Drosophila melanogaster: one gene and its partners. The protein of the gene in region 3 purifies or fractionates together with the protein of the main gene of each other region. This does not show direct contact. Each region holds a gene or a part of one and is shown on either strand. Other genes may lie near its edges.

What was found.
Region 1: the proteins of Rab11 (region 3) and Sec5 purify together in Drosophila melanogaster (affinity purification with western blotting, with the first as the bait; 3 studies listed by BioGRID). This does not show direct contact.
Region 2: the proteins of Rab11 (region 3) and nuf purify together in Drosophila melanogaster (affinity purification with western blotting; 5 studies listed by BioGRID, with this or other methods). This does not show direct contact.

What each region holds. Positions count from the first base shown.
Region 1 is NT_033779.5:3,455,608-3,460,903, reverse strand, and holds Sec5 (secretory 5), read right to left. Parts: upstream 3,603-5,296; 5' UTR 3,499-3,602; coding exon 3,390-3,498; intron 3,320-3,389; coding exon 2,705-3,319; intron 2,651-2,704; coding exon 829-2,650; intron 772-828; coding exon 633-771; 3' UTR 537-632; downstream 1-536. Other genes in the region: CG3246 (uncharacterized protein), read left to right, coding at 1-510; Cog3 (component of oligomeric golgi complex 3), read left to right, coding at 3,869-4,033, 4,090-4,602, 4,660-5,147, 5,201-5,296. UniProt on the Drosophila melanogaster protein: Component of the exocyst complex involved in the docking of exocytic vesicles with fusion sites on the plasma membrane.
Region 2 is NT_037436.4:14,217,873-14,222,777, forward strand, and holds the start of nuf (nuclear fallout), read left to right. Parts: upstream 1-1,869; 5' UTR 1,870-2,064; intron 2,065-3,567; exon of another isoform or gene 3,568-3,628; intron 3,629-4,905. Other genes in the region: CG7768 (uncharacterized protein), read left to right, coding at 511-1,005.
Region 3 is NT_033777.3:21,109,460-21,116,652, reverse strand, and holds Rab11 (Rab11), read right to left. Parts: upstream 5,246-7,193; 5' UTR 4,838-5,245; coding exon 4,798-4,837; intron 2,708-4,797; coding exon 2,586-2,707; intron 1,901-2,585; coding exon 1,552-1,900; intron 1,403-1,551; coding exon 1,269-1,402; 3' UTR 507-1,268; downstream 1-506. Other genes in the region: ppan (peter pan), read right to left, coding at 20-349; rtet (tetracycline resistance), read right to left, coding at 5,946-6,037, 6,096-6,401, 6,459-6,634, 6,928-7,001, 7,065-7,193.

The DNA.
Region 1 (5,296 bases), on a different chromosome or scaffold from region 3:
GGCGTGTTCAGTGTCCAGTTAGCACACACCTGGATCAATGGAATCTCTAGCTTCTACCGCGTGGGCAACATAACCGCTGGCATGGCCAACAAAACGGTGTCGGTCGTTCTGCAAATAGGCACCCAGCAGGTGACGGGAGCCGGCCAGTGGGAGGTGGGTGTGGGCATGATGACACGCGTCGGTCACGTACAATTTACGGTTCAGCACATACGCGCCACCGTTGGCCTGAGCCAATCCCTGGACACACGCAAGCGGGCGCAGATCACCGATCTGCAGTTTGACATGGGCAACATACAGGTGCGATGTGACGGAGCGGGAACGCTGGACTACGTCATGGAGTTTGCGGTGAACGTCATTCCCAACCTGCTGCGCTACCAGATCATGGACGCCATCGAGAACCCCATCAAGCAGCGTGTGCAGGAGAAGTTCAACACCATCGATGTGGAGCAGGTCATCAAGACCATGGCTCAGAACAACTTCAACTTTGACCCAAAGCTGTTGGGCTTGTGAGTCGTGGTAGTAAGTAAGAGAGTTATGCAATCGAATAAAGATTTATCCCTAGAACATGGGTAATCACAAGCTACTTAAAGTATACGCTATCTACATGGGCTGCGCCCTGCAGTGGAATGTGCCTAGGGGTCCTTGACACTGAAGCAGAGCAGCTGCAGACGCATGTTCCGCTTGACCCGCTCCAGAATCTCGTCCGCCTTACGCTTCTGCTCGCCACTCAGGGGCGGATTGATGGCCTCCAGCGCTTCCATGAAGTAGTTCCTTTTGCAGATTAGAAGAATTATTGAAATTCATAGGTATTTCATTTAGATCACTCACTTGGCAGTCTCATTGACGTAACCTTCCAGGGAGTCCCTCAATAGACGGATATCCACGTGGGCCTGAATCGCTCCCGTGAAGCTAAAGCGCTGGACACAGCTCATCAGACGGGCCAGCTCTTCGGATATGGTTTGCACAATGGACTCCAGGATGGGTCGCAGCAGTGCCGGTGAAATGCTGTAGATCTCGGAGTAGACACCAACCAAATTATCGCAGCACTCGTGAGCGTAAGGACGCAGCTGGCCGATCTCCATCTCGTGATCCCACTGGAAACGACCCAGATACATGGAGGGCTCGATGGTGCCGACCAGCGGATCGCCCTTATGCTCGACGTACTCCTCCAGAAGATTGGTAAAGAGCTGGTTAACCGTGTAGCGAGCAGTTTCGATTGCCAGCGTGGGCAGCGGGTAACCGTAGCGAACGAAGATGTCACCAAGGCGCGGGAAGAAGATCTTGTTGCAGTACGCATAGTTGGCCAGGCAACAGAGCATGCGCTGCTCCCAGGTCACAGCCGCTGCTCCGCCGCTTCCAGCCACCGAATCTGGCTGCTGGGCATTGGGGAATCCAAGTAGCTGCGACACATTGTGGGTGGGCGTCTCCTCGTCGTGGGAGTGGAAGGCCAGCTCCTCGATCACCGCGCTAAACGCGGATAGGAATTCTTGTAGTCGCTGTGTCACCTCTCTCTGTCCATCCGACTGCGGCTCGAGGAGATTGCCCTCCCGGGTCTCCCTTTGCATGCACACAGATTGCACCTCGTCCAGCGTTTCGATGAGCAATGTTTCCAAGGCGGCGGGTAACAATGTGGCACCTGGATATTCCTCCACGCCCAGTTCCCAGGTCTCCTGGCTGCCCAGCTTTTTGCACCGATCCGTGGCCCGTTTGAAGATAATTGAGAAGCAGAAAAGTCGCACCTCATCGATCAGTTTCTGTATGATGTCCAGCGCTTCCGAGGGCAGATCCAGGCTGATGAGCGTGGCATAGGCTATCCTCGTGAAACGCAGGCACTGCGGAATCCAGGGTAGAAACTGATGTGTTGCCGATGCGGAGCCGATGGGCCAAGCCAAGCCGCTGGACTGACGCAGGGCGCGCTGATCCGTGGCAATGAGAATGGCCAACCTCAAGTAGACACAGAACTTCTCGATGGCGTTCAAAACCATTCGCTTGAAATCCCCTGGCTTGGGATCATGAGGTCCGCGTAGCTCGCCGGTGAAGTATAGCTGGCCCAGACGCCACAAGTCCGGCAGCTGGGAGGCGGCAATGTCGCACAGTTCTTCGCAGAAGTTAACCCGATTGGGCGCCTGGCTGGAATCCCTGTTCTTTGCCTTTTCCTGGGCACCCGAATCCTTGCTGGTGTGCTGATCAAATGTCTGGCGAAATGTCCACTCCAGATATTTGGCTCTGGCCTCGATGGCATCCCAGGCGGGATCGATGTTGCGCAGTTTATCGCCAATGGGAGTTCCGCTCTGCTGCAGTTCCAGACTGATCAGCGCCTTGATGAGCTTCTTCTGTTGCTCCACGCTCTGTGGCATCTTGACCACCTTCTCGTGCAGTTGTTTCCTTATTGACAGAATCCTGTGGTCGACCTCCTCGAGCACCTTGCGGAAAATGGGAATCTCCGTCTTGCCAAAGAGGTTCTTGGCGCGCGAGTAGTCGTTAACCACAATGTCATATTCACCCGCCTTGGCACGTCTGTCCACCGAATTGGGCAGACAGAAGAGGAACTTGTGCCGCGACAGGGCGAACAGAACGGACCGCGTGGAATCCGCCTTCTCTTTGCGCACCAGCACATCCGTGAATATCTTTTGCGATTCGCTAATGGAGTCTATAAGTCGAACAATTTTAGAATTAAATATCTTAATCTATAAACCCCACTCACTCTCTATGGATGTTTCCAAGATATTTAGGGTCTCATTGCCGTGTAGCTTGACATCCTCCTGCAGCTTGTCTCGGATGTTCATCAGCGTATCGAGCTGGTCAATCACCGAGCCTGCATTGGACTTGAGGAAGGACAACTGACCTTCCTTCTGGCTCTCCACTTTCCGCTTCAAGTAGGACAGGCCCGCCTTGAGATCCTCGAAGGAGGTGGCCAGGTGATTTTCAAGCAGGAACCAGGCCGGGGAGAAGTGCTCCTGCGACAGATCCCCGCAGGCTTCGGGAAAGAGATCGCGGAGGTCCTCGGGGATCTTCTGCTCGTTACCCTCGATGGACAGCCCAAGTGGATCCTCCTGCGTCAGTCCGGATTGGGCTAGGGTGCGCCGACCCCAGGCAAAATTCTGCGAGGGCGACTCCTCGATCCACACGGCGGACTCCTTGAGCGGGCCAATGGTCTCGTGGTATGCACGAAACTGAACCGTGGACGTGCCCACTCCGCCGCTTAAAGTGGTCACTATGATATCGCCTTTTCCCTTCGCCGGACCAGTGCGTGCGATGATTTTATTGGGTGATTTCCACTCCGCCGACAGCAGACAATCTGAACCGCAGATTTTTAGACCTTACATTTTTTTTTTTTGGAAGGGAAAGTCATCAGAAAACAGAAGCTATTTGGGACAGGCTACGCCTACCAATTAGATCTTGCACTCGGGTGCCCAGGAACTCGCCGCGAATGATAACGCGGGTGCCAGGAGGACCCTCCTTCGGAGATAGCCCCGTAACCACTGGCTGCGGCGCCATCGTATGCTATATGATGCGGAAAAACTGATCAAAATGCAATAAAAACAATAGAGAACAGAACTTTATTGATGCTGCCAGTGATGGAAAACGTCCCGTCAGTGGTGAAATCTTGGCTAAGTAATCGCCAAGCTAAACAGACAGATATTTAATATAAAACTTATGTAAGAAACGGACGAGCATAAAAAGAGCTTAAAATGTATTAAATCTAAAATTAAAGATTACTTAACATATGATACCATTCAAATAAAGGCAACTTATATCAATCAAGAGTTTTAGTTCTAGCTAAGTCTCCTTGCTGAGCAGCACTGGAAGGCGCAGACCGGTCATCTCTGAACAGCTGATTGATTGTTTCCAAATCCGCCGCAGAAAAATGGATGACGTCGAACGAATTCAGAGCGAGAATGAGAATTTGCGCAAGATTCGCAATCGCCTGATGCAATGGGAGTCCAAAACGGACCCGCTGGCGGCTCTGAGTATCCAGCAAGAGGAGCACCTGGACGTCCTGACCAATCTGTGGCGCGACAGCGGACCATCGGTGAGTCGACTCCTCCTCGAATGGCAATCGTATAATTGCAACCCGACTCTTTGTAGGCACCGGCACCGACTACGCCCACCCAGGTGGGTCCTACCGATTCATCGGCAGCTGCAACTTCGCAAAGCGGCGATGACATCAGACTACCTGCGGAGGGACTCCAGAACACCAATGAGTTTCTGCTTTGGTTCGCGGACGTCAGCGCCGAGATCGAGCAACGTGGCGATGCCGACTACCACAAATACCTGCAGCAGCTGGAGCAGCGCAAAGCGGAGTGCTCCCACATGCTGGACCAGATCGCTGGGGCCATGGAGCGCCTGGGTGCCCTCTGCGACGAGTACGACTTTGTGTCGCAAAAGACCAGCGCTCTGAACACGGCCAGCGAGCAGTTGATCGAGGAGCAGGAGCGACTGCAGGAGCTGAGTCACGAGATTCAACGCCGTCTGCACTACTTCAGCCAGGTGGAGTTGCTCAACCAACGACTTCAGAGCCCCACGCTTTCGGTGGCTAGCGAAGCGTTCCGGGAGTGCCTCAACAAGATCGACGAATGCCTAAACTACATCGAGGAGAATGTGAGCTTGTCTGTTACACTTCGGTCATGTATATACTAATATCCTTCATTGTCACAGCCCAAATTCAAGGATGCGGCCGCCTACAATGTGAAGTACAGGCAGTGCCTGGCCAAAGCCTCGGGTCTGGTGCGTAACTATGTGACGAGTGTGATAAACCAGGCAACCGAGGCCACGCTCCATCCCAAGAACAATATGCCGGATGCCTCCGCTGCTCTCAAGGCACCAGATGCCGCATTCGCTCTGTACTACGGCAAATATCAAACGGCCGCGGCAAAAGTGAAGCGGGTCGCCCAGTTGATTGAGTCCCGGTCGGAACACAGCCTCGACTACGCCCAACTAATGGCGGATCTTCAACAGCACTACTTGGCGCAAAGAGCCAGCGTTATGTCGCCAGCAGTGAATCTGTCCATACAAAACGTTAAGGTGGCCCACAAAGGGGATCACTGCTCTCTCACCCGAAGCGCCTGCGCCTTTTTGGTGCATGTTTGCCAGGACGAACAGCGTTTGTTCTACCAGTTCTTCAGCACAGGAGCGCCACACCTGACGTAATACTCGTACATCTAGTTGGAAAATAGGATTGATCTCATTTTTCCCACAGGGTTTATCTGGAGGGTCTGTGCACCATTCTCTATGACACCATGCGACCCTTTATTATACATATTAATCACTTGGAAACGCTGGCGGAGATCTGCTC
Region 2 (4,905 bases), on a different chromosome or scaffold from region 3:
CGCGTGGATGGATATATAAAGTTTGTACACAACTGCAAATGAAAGGTAAATATAGCCGGCTTTAAAAGTATCTGTGAGTTTTGCGTTGATTAAGGCGGCGGTTAAACAAATTAGAAGAGTAAATAAGGTCTGTAAGATTAGACACGGATAAAGGTATTTTAAGGACAATATTACCTTAAAATATCCAAATATACCGATCATTTGCAATGTATTAAAAATTGTGGAAGCCAAAGCAGGCATTTTTTTTTGCTACTGGATTTTATAAAGAAGGCTGTGAAATGAATTTCAACGAGCCCTTACTTCAGATCCCTGACTAGCCCAGAATATTCGTCAGTTCAGTTCCAGCTGTTCTACTGTACGGTTCTCTTGAAAGTCGTTACTTTTTTTTATCATAAAGCTGACACCACCAAGTTATCCGGTAAATATATTTCTTGTTTTTGAACAAGGCATCGTTCGATTTTAAACCTAATAGATCTGGCTTTTCTCCGAAAATTTTCGGCATCTGCGAAGATGTCGTTGCCACGCGTTTACTTCGATATAGCCGCAGGAGGTGAGAAGTTAGGTAGAATTGTGATGGAACTACGTTCGGATGTGGTGCCCAAGACGGCGGAGAATTTCCGGGCCCTCTGCACCGGAGAGAAGGGGTACGGCTACAAGGGATCACCATTCCACCGCGTCATCCCGAATTTCATGTGTCAGGGCGGTGATTTCACTAATCAAAACGGAACTGGAGGACGCTCCATTTATGGAAACAAGTTTCCCGATGAGAATTTCGAGCTAAAGCATACCGGAGCTGGTGTACTTTCGATGGCCAATGCTGGGGCCAATACCAATGGATCTCAGTTTTTCATTTGCACCGGGAAAACCACATGGCTGGATAATAAGCATGTCGTGTTCGGCAAGGTCGTTGAGGGAATGGATATCGTCCAGAAGGTAGAATCTTACGGTTCACAAGATGGGAAGACCAGCAAGAAAGTAATTATCGAAGACTGCGGAGCCCTCTGAAGGGTGTCAATACATAATAGTGCTGTCAATCACACATTTACACTATTACACTGAAATTATACTTTTCAAGAAAACTTTGCAAAATAAAAGGGGGTGCAAAAAAATGTATTTTGTCGGTTCAACTATTTACATCGCTCTCATATGTTACGCATTTCAGACCAATTCGTTGAATAATCCGGTGCACCCTGAACAGCCCAGTTCCCTGACTCATTTTCCTTTGATTTTTCTTTCCATTACTTTTAATTGACTCAATTTAGTTCAAGAGTTGCTCACATATGTCGCTTTTGATTCTTTCCACTCGATTCTCATTCTGTCTCCCATCACCTTTCCCTCAAGCCATTCTATCCACTTTACCCGAATGCACTTTGCAAATGTCTATTAAGTCACATACACTGATGAAAAAAAAGAATTAACCACCAGTAATACATATGTATATGTTTGGTAAAGTGCACTTTACTAAATACATTCAAAAACTCAAATTGAATCCATTATTTTTTAAATATATTCTGCAATATAAGTTTTGTTTAAACAAATATTATATTTGGAAGTTAGTATTTCTTTTCAAACCTAAAAACACCTGGCTAACTATGTTATACAATGTGTATATGTGTATGTGCATATAAGCCACTCAGCAAACAAAATTTTCTTTTCTCAAGTGCATGTAATACGAATTTCCAACACTGCTAAGTCACATTAGTGGAATTTTTCTATTGCGTTCGTTTTGCTTTGGGGCTCTGTTTTTTTGTATTTCTTTTCGTTATTTTTTCGGGCACCCAAAACAAGTCGCGGCTTCTGCCGACGTCGACCGAGGCAGCGGCAGAGGAGGGGCCGCGACTTGGCGCTGGCTTTTCAGCGCTTTCCTCTCTCAGATTGCATTTAACGCTTGCCGCGTTCACAACACTAGAAAAGCGGAGCAGCGCATCGAACGGTCGCCCTGTCTCTCACTCTCTCGCGCTCTCTCGCGCGGGTGTTTTGTTGTTGGGCAATGCAATTGCCAAGGAAAAGGAAAATGCAGCTGCTGCTGCTGCTCTCCTAAGCAAAATAGCCAAATTAAAAAAGGTTCGAAATTCGAGAAAATTAACCCAAAGTTACCTCAATTCGTGTGTTTTTTGTGTGTTACCTATTATCGATCGAATTCGCTTATCAGCTGTGTCAGGTGCCTTTGGCTCATTAACCGCTTATTTAAGGAAAAATGTGAAATCAAAACAAATTCGTTAATGACAGGGTCTGTTGTGAAAACCCGTAATCAAAGTAGCCTTGTTCGGCTCATGTTTCTAATTTTCATACCCTCTGGCAAATATATTGGTTGATTGATCTTAAATTGAAAAGTGCGGTTGAATCAGTTTGCCAAGTGTTTTATCGAAACATAAAAAATGGAAATCAAGTGTGGCATAAAATTGATAAATGATACAATAAATGGGACAAAATGAAAGAAAAAATAAAATAGCTTTAAACAATTCAAAGCAATTCTTCGTTATGGGGCGTTAAAAGTTGAAAAAACACTGACGGTAATTGATGAAGTAAAACGAAGAAAGATAAGGTGATCAAATTTGCAAAACCGGCACAATGTAAATTAATTGTGCTTTTTGTGTTGATTTTTTTTATTATTAATGGAGACAAGTTTAAGTATTTTCTTAAAAAGTTTAGTAAACTTAGGAAGATGAAAAAAAAAAAATAATATTGCCTCTTTAAAAATCAAGTCTTGTTTTCATTGCTTTCGGCAGTTTCTACATTCAAAGGGAATTAAATAAATCAAGGGCTTCCACCGAGAATAACGCATAGCAGTTCCAAGTTCATTCATTATACATAACTCGTACTTCTTAATTTCTTTTACTAGGCATTTTCCGTACCGTTAAGTTTGGTAGGAAAATATTCTTTCATTAGCGATGGTTCGTCAATTAGTAGGCATATAAATCTAACGGCACAGTGCCCTAACAGCACAGAAGACAACTAACCGGAACTGAAAACTAGCACTAAAAACCAATAAGTAAAAGGCCTAAGGTAGCCGCAATAACAAAAGAACGGAAAAGACCCTCTGATGACATCAACAAAAAGGGGGTGTACGAAAGAGATGGGACGAAATGGATGGAGATTACCATCCAATCCCGCATGCGTCCCGTTACTCTTGCTTTTCGGTTCGTGTCCACGCTTATTCACTTGCGCTTTTATTTAGTAATGAGTAAAACATATACATACATACGTATGTATGCATATATGAACATATGATGGGAGGCATTTTGGGAGCGGTTGGCTTGGGGTGACCGTATATAAATTCCACATAATTATGCGCTGTCCCTGACTCAAAAACCATATGTTCAAAATAAAGGAGGCGGGCGGATTCGGCGAGAGAATCACCCTCGGACATATGGCGAAAAACTTTTCCTTTGGGGGATCGGATCGCTCTCTTTCTTCGGTCCCTTGTCATTGCTCTTGTTTGTTGATTATTATTTTTTCCTATTTATAAAGATTGCGCCTCCCCAAATTCGCTCTCCCAGTCTCTCATTTTTCTCTCTATCGCTGGCGACTGCCTCGGTTTATTTTGCCCCTGAATTTCTGGTTCATTCAGTTTGCTTTTCGCGTTTCGCGTGCTTTAATCGAAATTTGTTTTTCTCCCTCGATTGTGGTTGTAATAAAATACATAATACACCATTTTAAATAATCGAAAAAATTAGCTATTCACTTTTAAAATTGAAAAATATTTGTGAGATCGCGGCACAGATTATTGAAGATCATAAAATCGGCAGGAAAATTAAAAATATTTTAAAGGATTGCATCATTAGTTTTTGGTTCTTTTAAGCAAAAGCTTTCAAGAAAGTTATAGAATACATAATAGTACATTAAAAATAATCAATGACAATTTTTTTTCAAGTTCTTATGTATATGATTCCCATATAATTGATGCAAAGTCTTTAAATATACATTTGTTTGAAATCATGAATATTTTATGTGGTACTCAGCATTCCTGATCCAATTTCGGCTAATCATTGTATATTTTACAACCTTTTTGTTGTAACTTGTTCACTTCACTTTGTTGCATGAAAAGTGCACAGCAGCGAAGTAAAATTTGCATTTAATGAGCTCCCCTCGTTCGACTCATCCCCATTTTCACCCCTTCCTTCGTCGACCATTGTATGCAAATCTTTGTGGAATTCAATTTTGCTGAAGAGTAGCTAATGATAATTTTCTATTATGCTGTTTTTGATTGCCTGACATGGGCGAGGAAAAAATGGTTGAAGAGATATGATAATCCAAAAATATTCAGCTGACAAGAAAGGAAAGTTTACTTCATTAGCAAATTAGTTTTAGTTGAATTGAAATCAGATTATTCGGTTACTTACTGTACTTGTATTGAAGGAATTGGATTGTATTTTGATAAGGGTTTCCAAATCATTTGTAATAAAGTTGTATTTTATTTATTTGAATGCTTATTTCGTAAATCAACTTGGAATCATTCAAAGCAAATAAAGTTCTTTAAAAAGTAAAATCTTTATCAGTCATGCCCTGCTTTTAATTGGCCCTCATATTGACCTTTATTTAAATTTGTATGTGATAACGTGAAAATGAAGCTTTGACAAGGGCACCTTAACTATACACGTCGCCGAACGATTTGATAAGACTAAGAATGATTCAGTTTACTAGACTACAAAAGTAAACAGCACGCCACAAATTCCAAGTAAAAGAAAAGCAAACTTAGCCAGCCATTGCATTTTCTGGTAATTAGAAACTAGGCGGGAATTCAAAACCTGAGGAACAAAATAACAATGAAAATAGGGAGAGGTTGGAAAATAGCTGTACGACGAGGATATGTAAAATTGTCTAGAATTCTGCTCAAAGTCTGAACAAAATAATTTTACGGTCTGTTGGTTCTAAAAAAAAAAGAAGAAGTAAAGAGAGGGTTGG
Region 3 (7,193 bases):
AGCGATGAAACAAACAAACCTTGAAAGTCAGGGAAGGACCGCGCGGCAAGCGGACCACTTTGAAGGACAGCTGCGTGGAGGCCTTGTTGAAGATGCCCATGTGCGAGACGTGGAAGAAGCTGCTCAGGCTGACAAAGTCCTTGATGCGGTTCATCCGCTTCTCGCGCAGATTGCTGGCCGTAAAGGGCTCCATAATGCGGCGGAAGTCCAGGGTGAGGTCCGTGATGTACGGACAGGCGAGGCCGCGATGGATGACGAAGGAGTGCGGCGCCTCCACGATCTCGCTCGGCTCGCTGGCCTTGAAGGCCGCCGTGCGCGTCTTCGGATGCACTTTCTTCTTACCGCCCATGTTTCAATGTTTTTGTTCACTTTTCTCCCGCACGTGTATGGATCAGTGTGGCTGCTCGCGCGGAAAATACCAAACACCCACTCCGACGTCTGCCTTTGGTCACTCTAATCCCATTTTAAATTTCGATTTTCCGCCCAATTGAAAGCACTTCTGTTTTATTTAAATTATATTTATTTAATCACACTTAACATAGCAAACACAAATGATGTTATTTCGTTTCATTTATGCATTTAAAGTTTTACAACTGTTTTTGTTTGATTTCTCTTTATCAGCTAGTTTTACCAAGTGGCCAATCGTTTAAAATGTTGCGAGAAACCGAAGAAGAAAATCCGAGCTGCAGTGCTGTGGTAATGAATTTGCGTTTAAGTCGAAGAATTTCCGGTTGTTTGTTGTTGTTCTGCTCGCGAAATTACAACTATATATTTATGTTGCGAAAAATTAATAATATTAATATTTTAATATTAGCATATATGTATATTTATATAAATTATAGTTCTACAGCTTAAACTGAATTTGGAGTGTTTAGTTTTGCTTGCTTTCTTTCCGCGGCGGTCGATTTATGCGATACTCATGGATCTGTATATATATAAAACTTCAGTTTAAACCGCAGTTAACTACAGCCGGATGTTGTTGCTTTCGATTCTTTTGCTGCTGCTGCTGCTTCTGATGATGGTGGTGGTGTTGGTGGTGGAGAGTGGCGGCTCAGATTTGAATTATCAATTTATGCGCACATGACAAACTGTGGCTGACAAACGCATAGACATCTTGTGCGGTCCATCGGGTGTACGCTGCTCCTGATCTTGGTGTTGCAGTTCTGGCCGCTGCTGCTCCTCTTGTAGTCGTAGTTGTAATTGCTGTTGCTTCTGTTTATGTTGCTGTTCTGGCGGTTGCGGGGAATAGCGAAAATTGCTTGGGGCGGTCACTGACAGCACTGTTTGCGCACATCGGCGGTGACAGTCGGCTTTACGTCGATGGGCTCCACGTTCGACGGGCGGATGACGTCGCCTTCCGGCGGATCTCTGATCTGTTTCTGCGACACAATGCGATAGATCTCTGAAACGGGATTACGAGACATCATTAGTCGTGCTTCGTTATCATTAATCTATTGACTTTCAATGAAGCGTTTAATCTACAGTATTTAAATATTCTTAAACGATCGATAATTTGAAAGCAGACTAGCTAAAATATCCTGAACGACCCACCTGTGAGTATGTTCTGGAATGCCGTTTCAACGTTCGTTGAGTCGAGGGCCGAGGTTTCTATGAAACTCAAGCCGTTGCGCTCGGCAAACAGCTTCGCCTCGTCCGTGGGCACGGAGCGCAAGTGCCGCAAGTCGGACTTGTTGCCCACCAGCATGATGACGATGTTCTGGTCGGCATGGTCGCGCAATTCCCGCAGCCACCGCTCCACGTTCTCGTAGGTCAGATGCTTGGCAATGTCATAGACGAGCAGGGCCCCCACGGCACCGCGGTAGTAGGCAGAGGTGATGGCGCGATAACGCTCCTGGCCGGCCGTATCCCAGATTTGCGCTTTAATTGTTTTGCCATCGACCTGCGTTGGATGCACAAGAAGGATGAAACAAAGGACAGCATTAGAATGGTGCCAGTAATTGGCAATTTCGCCACGAAATGCCTGCGGCGCATTCGCTTTGAAAATTAATATACAAGCACTGGCATTCAGTATTCACACATAACCAACATAAATTAGAGCTTATGGATAAGCTTTTAACTCTAGTAAGAGAACCCAATTTTTGAAATTTCTTACACTAGTTAGAAAAAACGCAAGTAGCGTAAGTTATATTCATTGAACCCATTTGATATACTAAATATTAAGATGACCTACTAAGCTACTTCGAAAAGATGGCACAAAGTATTGTTTAACACAAATCCTTATACATACGTAATATATAATTGTTATTGACCACATAAATTTATTATTTCAGCACAAGTGACAACTATGATGTCAACATTTTGGCTAATCCCGTAGGATGGCTTTTGAAATTATGCAAGAAAGCCAATTGGCAATCCATTATTTAGTGAAATTCTCGACACTTACTCAAATTGAACAAACTTTTCCCCCCAATTTTCCGATAGACGCCTCAACTACGTGTCCTCCCACCGAAACGCACACGCAAGTTCACCCGTGACTTCCCCCACTGTGGGTGCGGTGCGGTAGATGTGTGGGGGTGGAGCTCCATGGGCCACTCCACCCTCGAATTCTTGGCCAGCGTACTCACCTCTATGCTGCGCGTTGCAAACTCAACGCCAATCGTCGACTTGGACTCCAAGTTGAATTCATTGCGCGTGAAACGTGAGAGCAAATTACTTTTGCCAACACCGGAGTCACCGATAAGGACAACTGCAAAGGATTAGAGGGAATTAGTGACATCGACATTGGCATTGGATAATCGAAGACCCCCAGTTGCATAATTTATGTGGGTGTGTGGTGTGGCGTGGCGTGGCATGGCCCCTGTCTTGTGTTTTACGGCCGGACAGAATGGTCGCTGGTGGCCCGGCTAGGTCATGTCCTCCTTTCGCCGCTGGCACGGCGCACCAAGGTCAGCGAGTACATAAAACCGCCATGCTCGGGGGATTTCAGGCCATGGAAAGAAATGTTTTATGATTGGGCCAGTCGACGTTAGGGAGTTCGTGTTATTGTGCTTCATTGCCGATAGCAAACATTTCTTGGATAATTGAGTGGCGGATATTTGAGGGAGCAAACAAGCATCCCAAGTTGATATGCTACCCGATAAAAACTATCCACTGACCTTTTTACGACTCCATTTCTTTTTGATAAACTTTCTTATGTGCGGCCAGAGTTGTTGGCTATAATATATATTAACTGATATCTAGACACTGTGTTTACTGACTGTCTGTCTATTAGTTTCCATTTTTGACACCCTTTTCGGACATTGTTGATTCAGCATGTTTGCTAATCCATTCAGAAAACAACAACTATAACTCATCAAACACCTTTTCGCTCTATCGCTATGGTCATCGCTGCACGGAGAAAATTCAAATAGTAAAATGGTATCATATGAACACTGATTCTTGAGTTCGAAGTTTCGATTGCAATGCCATTAAGATAGGAACTAAATATTTGAAACGACTTTTGAGCTAAGTCCAAGTTTTTGACTTAATTTAGATAGCTAAATTAGAGGGTATAGGGTTTTCTTTCAGTGTGGACAGCTGGGAGCAGCGTGGTTACAGTTATCAGCGAGAGAGCTGAGTCACTTTGTTTTCTACTCTCTTTCTCAGCGCTAATAACGATCTTTAAAGAGAAATTGCACTTAGTTAAGCGGATGCGATGAGAAATTAAAAGGGGAGGAGTGGTAATCGACGGTCATTACTTAGTAGTGGGATTGGCTCGAATAACCCGAAACGGCCCATTTTCAGTTATGTGATTATGCGCTTATCGGTGAGTGGAATTCTTCAGCAGTTATTGGCTGTGAGTCATGTCCGTTTAATATTGTTTCATGTGTGAAATTTGAGGCCTCATCATGCATACCGCACACTGACGCATTATTATGATGACTTTTTTTTTAACTTTTTGTATACTTGACCCAAAAAATACGGCAGATTAAGTTTTAAATATTTTTTTAATGACATTCAACAGTTGCTCAGCTGTGATAGCTAGCAGAGATTTCCAAGCGCAATTGGAATTTATGGCGTAGTAGCAAACGAAGGGAACAAAGAAGAGCTGAGAATTTGTGACCTCTGTTCATACATATCTACACATAAACGGGGGAAGATGCGGGATAAAAGTCTTGTTTTCTACCTGCAAATACATCATTTTGCTCTACTGTGCTTCAAACTTTCAATCGAGAGCGGGTGAAAAAGAGAGCGCGCGTGAGAGAGAGCTACTAAACGAAGTTACAAGAAACCATTGCAAAAGCCAGCTGTACAGAAATCATAATACCCACACTCTCGCTCTATTTACTGGATATCTAATCACTTTAGCATTTCGAGTGGGTGGGCAAGCCTTAAACCTACTTTACAGAGCGAGCGATTATAAATACGATCTGCTTGGCTTTTGTATGCAACGTGGCGAGACCAACGGCACTGTAATGACAAAACAAGCAGTTAACGGCAAAGTACGCGTACTCCAGTCCGAAAGAGTACCCCAAAGAGATGGAGATAGGCAGAGTGAGAGCGGGAGAGCCACCAAAGGGCATCCAACTGCAGCAGTAGCAACAACAACAAACTCGGGGGGCGTACTTCTTATTTTGGGAATTAATGACACTCACGCAAACAAACACACCACATACCATCACATGAACTTTGGGCTCTTCGAGTGCACTTTTTGTTATTCTCCAATTAGTTTCAATTAGTGCTATTGAACCACTGTCTCTCACGGCAGGGAGAGGAGAGCCTGGAAGTGCGGCTCCTCCCCTCCTGATCAACCTTCCGCGATCTTCGACCAGCGGCTAGTATCATGTTTATAATTACCTTTGAACAGATAATCGTACTCGTCTTCTCTTGCACCCATTTTGCTCAATTTGTTTTGCTATCGCTCGCTCGGTTCGATATCCTTTGGAAATCCAGTTCCGTCCTTTTTGTTTTGTGTGTGCGGGTGCTAAACGAAATCCAATAATCCCTGCGCGCCGCCGATTTCTTTAATGCGTTTGTCGTCGGCTCACACACTTTACACTTTTATTTGCAGTTGTAGTTGTAAAGAAAGAGAAAAGTGTATATATCAGTATTTAAGTGGCGAAATCGGTTGCTCTTCCAGCTCGGATGCGTTCGAAAATGCTGGCAGGACTTTTCCGGCAATTGGAGCAGTATTAATTGGAGATTTGCAGCTGCTTGCAGCGCATTTATTTGCAATTTTCTCTTACACGAAAACTTAGTCACTCCCAATAACGTCACGTTATATTTCCAACGAGACTAGAGATGTTGAAAAATATCGGTACATCGACATTATTTCGGCGATACTTATCGATTTTCTTAATGGCGATGTAAGGCGATAGTACAATGTCACTTCTATTTTTGTTTATATGAACATTGTTTTATACTCAAAAGCTTTAGAATTAGAATTAAATTTTTTCATAATTAAAACACATTAGGTCTAGAAAATAAATCTAATGTTTGTTTCCTATTTAAAAAACTTATTTGTTTTATTTTAAAACACCAACATACTTATATCATTATCGATGTTTTCACATCGACTTGCATCACTAAATTAACGAGATGGATGTTTTAGAGTTACCAGACGGTACGACGAATTATCATGAACTGCTCTCGTTTCATCCCGACAAGCCTATCGTATTTTAAAAAAGCTGAACACATTTTCTAGGGATTATCCCTAGCCCATTTAACTTATTTCCAACTCAAAATGTCTTGAATACTTAAAACGTTCCAACCTAAACAGAATCGTTCTCCCAGTAGCAGTAACTGTTTCTAATATTATCTTATTAAAAAAATTAATTAAATAGAAAACATTTCGATCCCAAGTAAAAACCCCCTGCTTACAAATCAGAGTAAAAATGTGTTTATTTTAATATAAAATACTTGTAAAAAACGATAAATTAAGTATAATGTGCAGCTAATACTTCCGTTGATCTCTAGTGAGTTTAAAAACTCTATTCCTATTGCACTTAAATGCGAGCGCGTTGCAAGGCCATGGCTGGATAAATGAGCAGAAGTCCGCCGGCTATATAGGTGATCCTGGAGCCAACGCACCAGAAGGCTATTAAGGATTAAAGAGTTTAGAAAAGGTATAATCCTAAGACAGCTGAGGAGCTCACCAATGCATCCCACCACGGGGCCCAGAGCTCGAGCCAAAGCTCCCAGTGAGCGGAATATGCCCAGTACTGAACCCTTCTGGTCATCGTTTCCGTATTTGGATACGAGGGTGGTCAGACAGGTGACAGCGAAGGCTGTGGAGATTGCGAACAGGGTCATGCCGGCGTACAGCATCCGACTGCCCTCGGCTAGGCCGACTACTACGAAGGCGGGTACAATCAGGTACAAACTGAAGATGGCATAGCCTTTGATCTTCGCCTCGGGCAGCCGTCGGACCACCGATCCCTGCAGCAAAGTCATGATTACACCTAGAAAAAGACACAAATTTGATAGGGAATATTGTAGATTATCAACTTGCTCCATACCCGTTGTCAAAAACATCTTCGCCTGATCCATCGAAGTGTAACCGAATTTGTGGTACATCAGAAATGTGACGGTGAACTCCAAGCCGGAATACAGAAAGAGATACAAGAAGTATACCAGGCCAATGGATCGCAGTGCCGCAATGTCTTTCTTAGGCACATTTTTGATGGCAGCAAATCTGTCAGTGGGAGAATTCTTTTGAAATATGATTGTAAAATCCAGACATAATCATTGGTAATAATCTTCTAGCTAACTGGACTCAATTCCCTGTAACTACAATTAATCAAAAGCAATCTAGAATTTACTAACTGATAAGGCAATCAAACAAACGTGTCCGAGAACCCGGCATGATAATAGTGTCTATCAAACCAGTCAGGCAAGTCCGGGTGGCTTGCAGTTCTCACCGTATGACGATTTCGATTTGATCACACGACAGGTTTTCGAGACATGCTAATTAAAACATTGAATTACCTAAATATGGCCGAAAAATTGAGCAACTGCAGGCCATAAGACAGTGCAGATGATATCTCCTTAACACGTTTCTCCTGCGAAAAGGTCAAACAATTAATGGTGTTGGGAATATATTTAATTTAGCCAACCGTACGCACCTTGGGCAACGTTTCCCGCAGACAGCAGGCCAGGACCACAAGATCTCCAACTGCCAGGCCAAACGCCAGCAGAGAGGGCAACACAAACCAAGTACTTCCACTTTTATCGGAGAATATGGCGAACAGGGC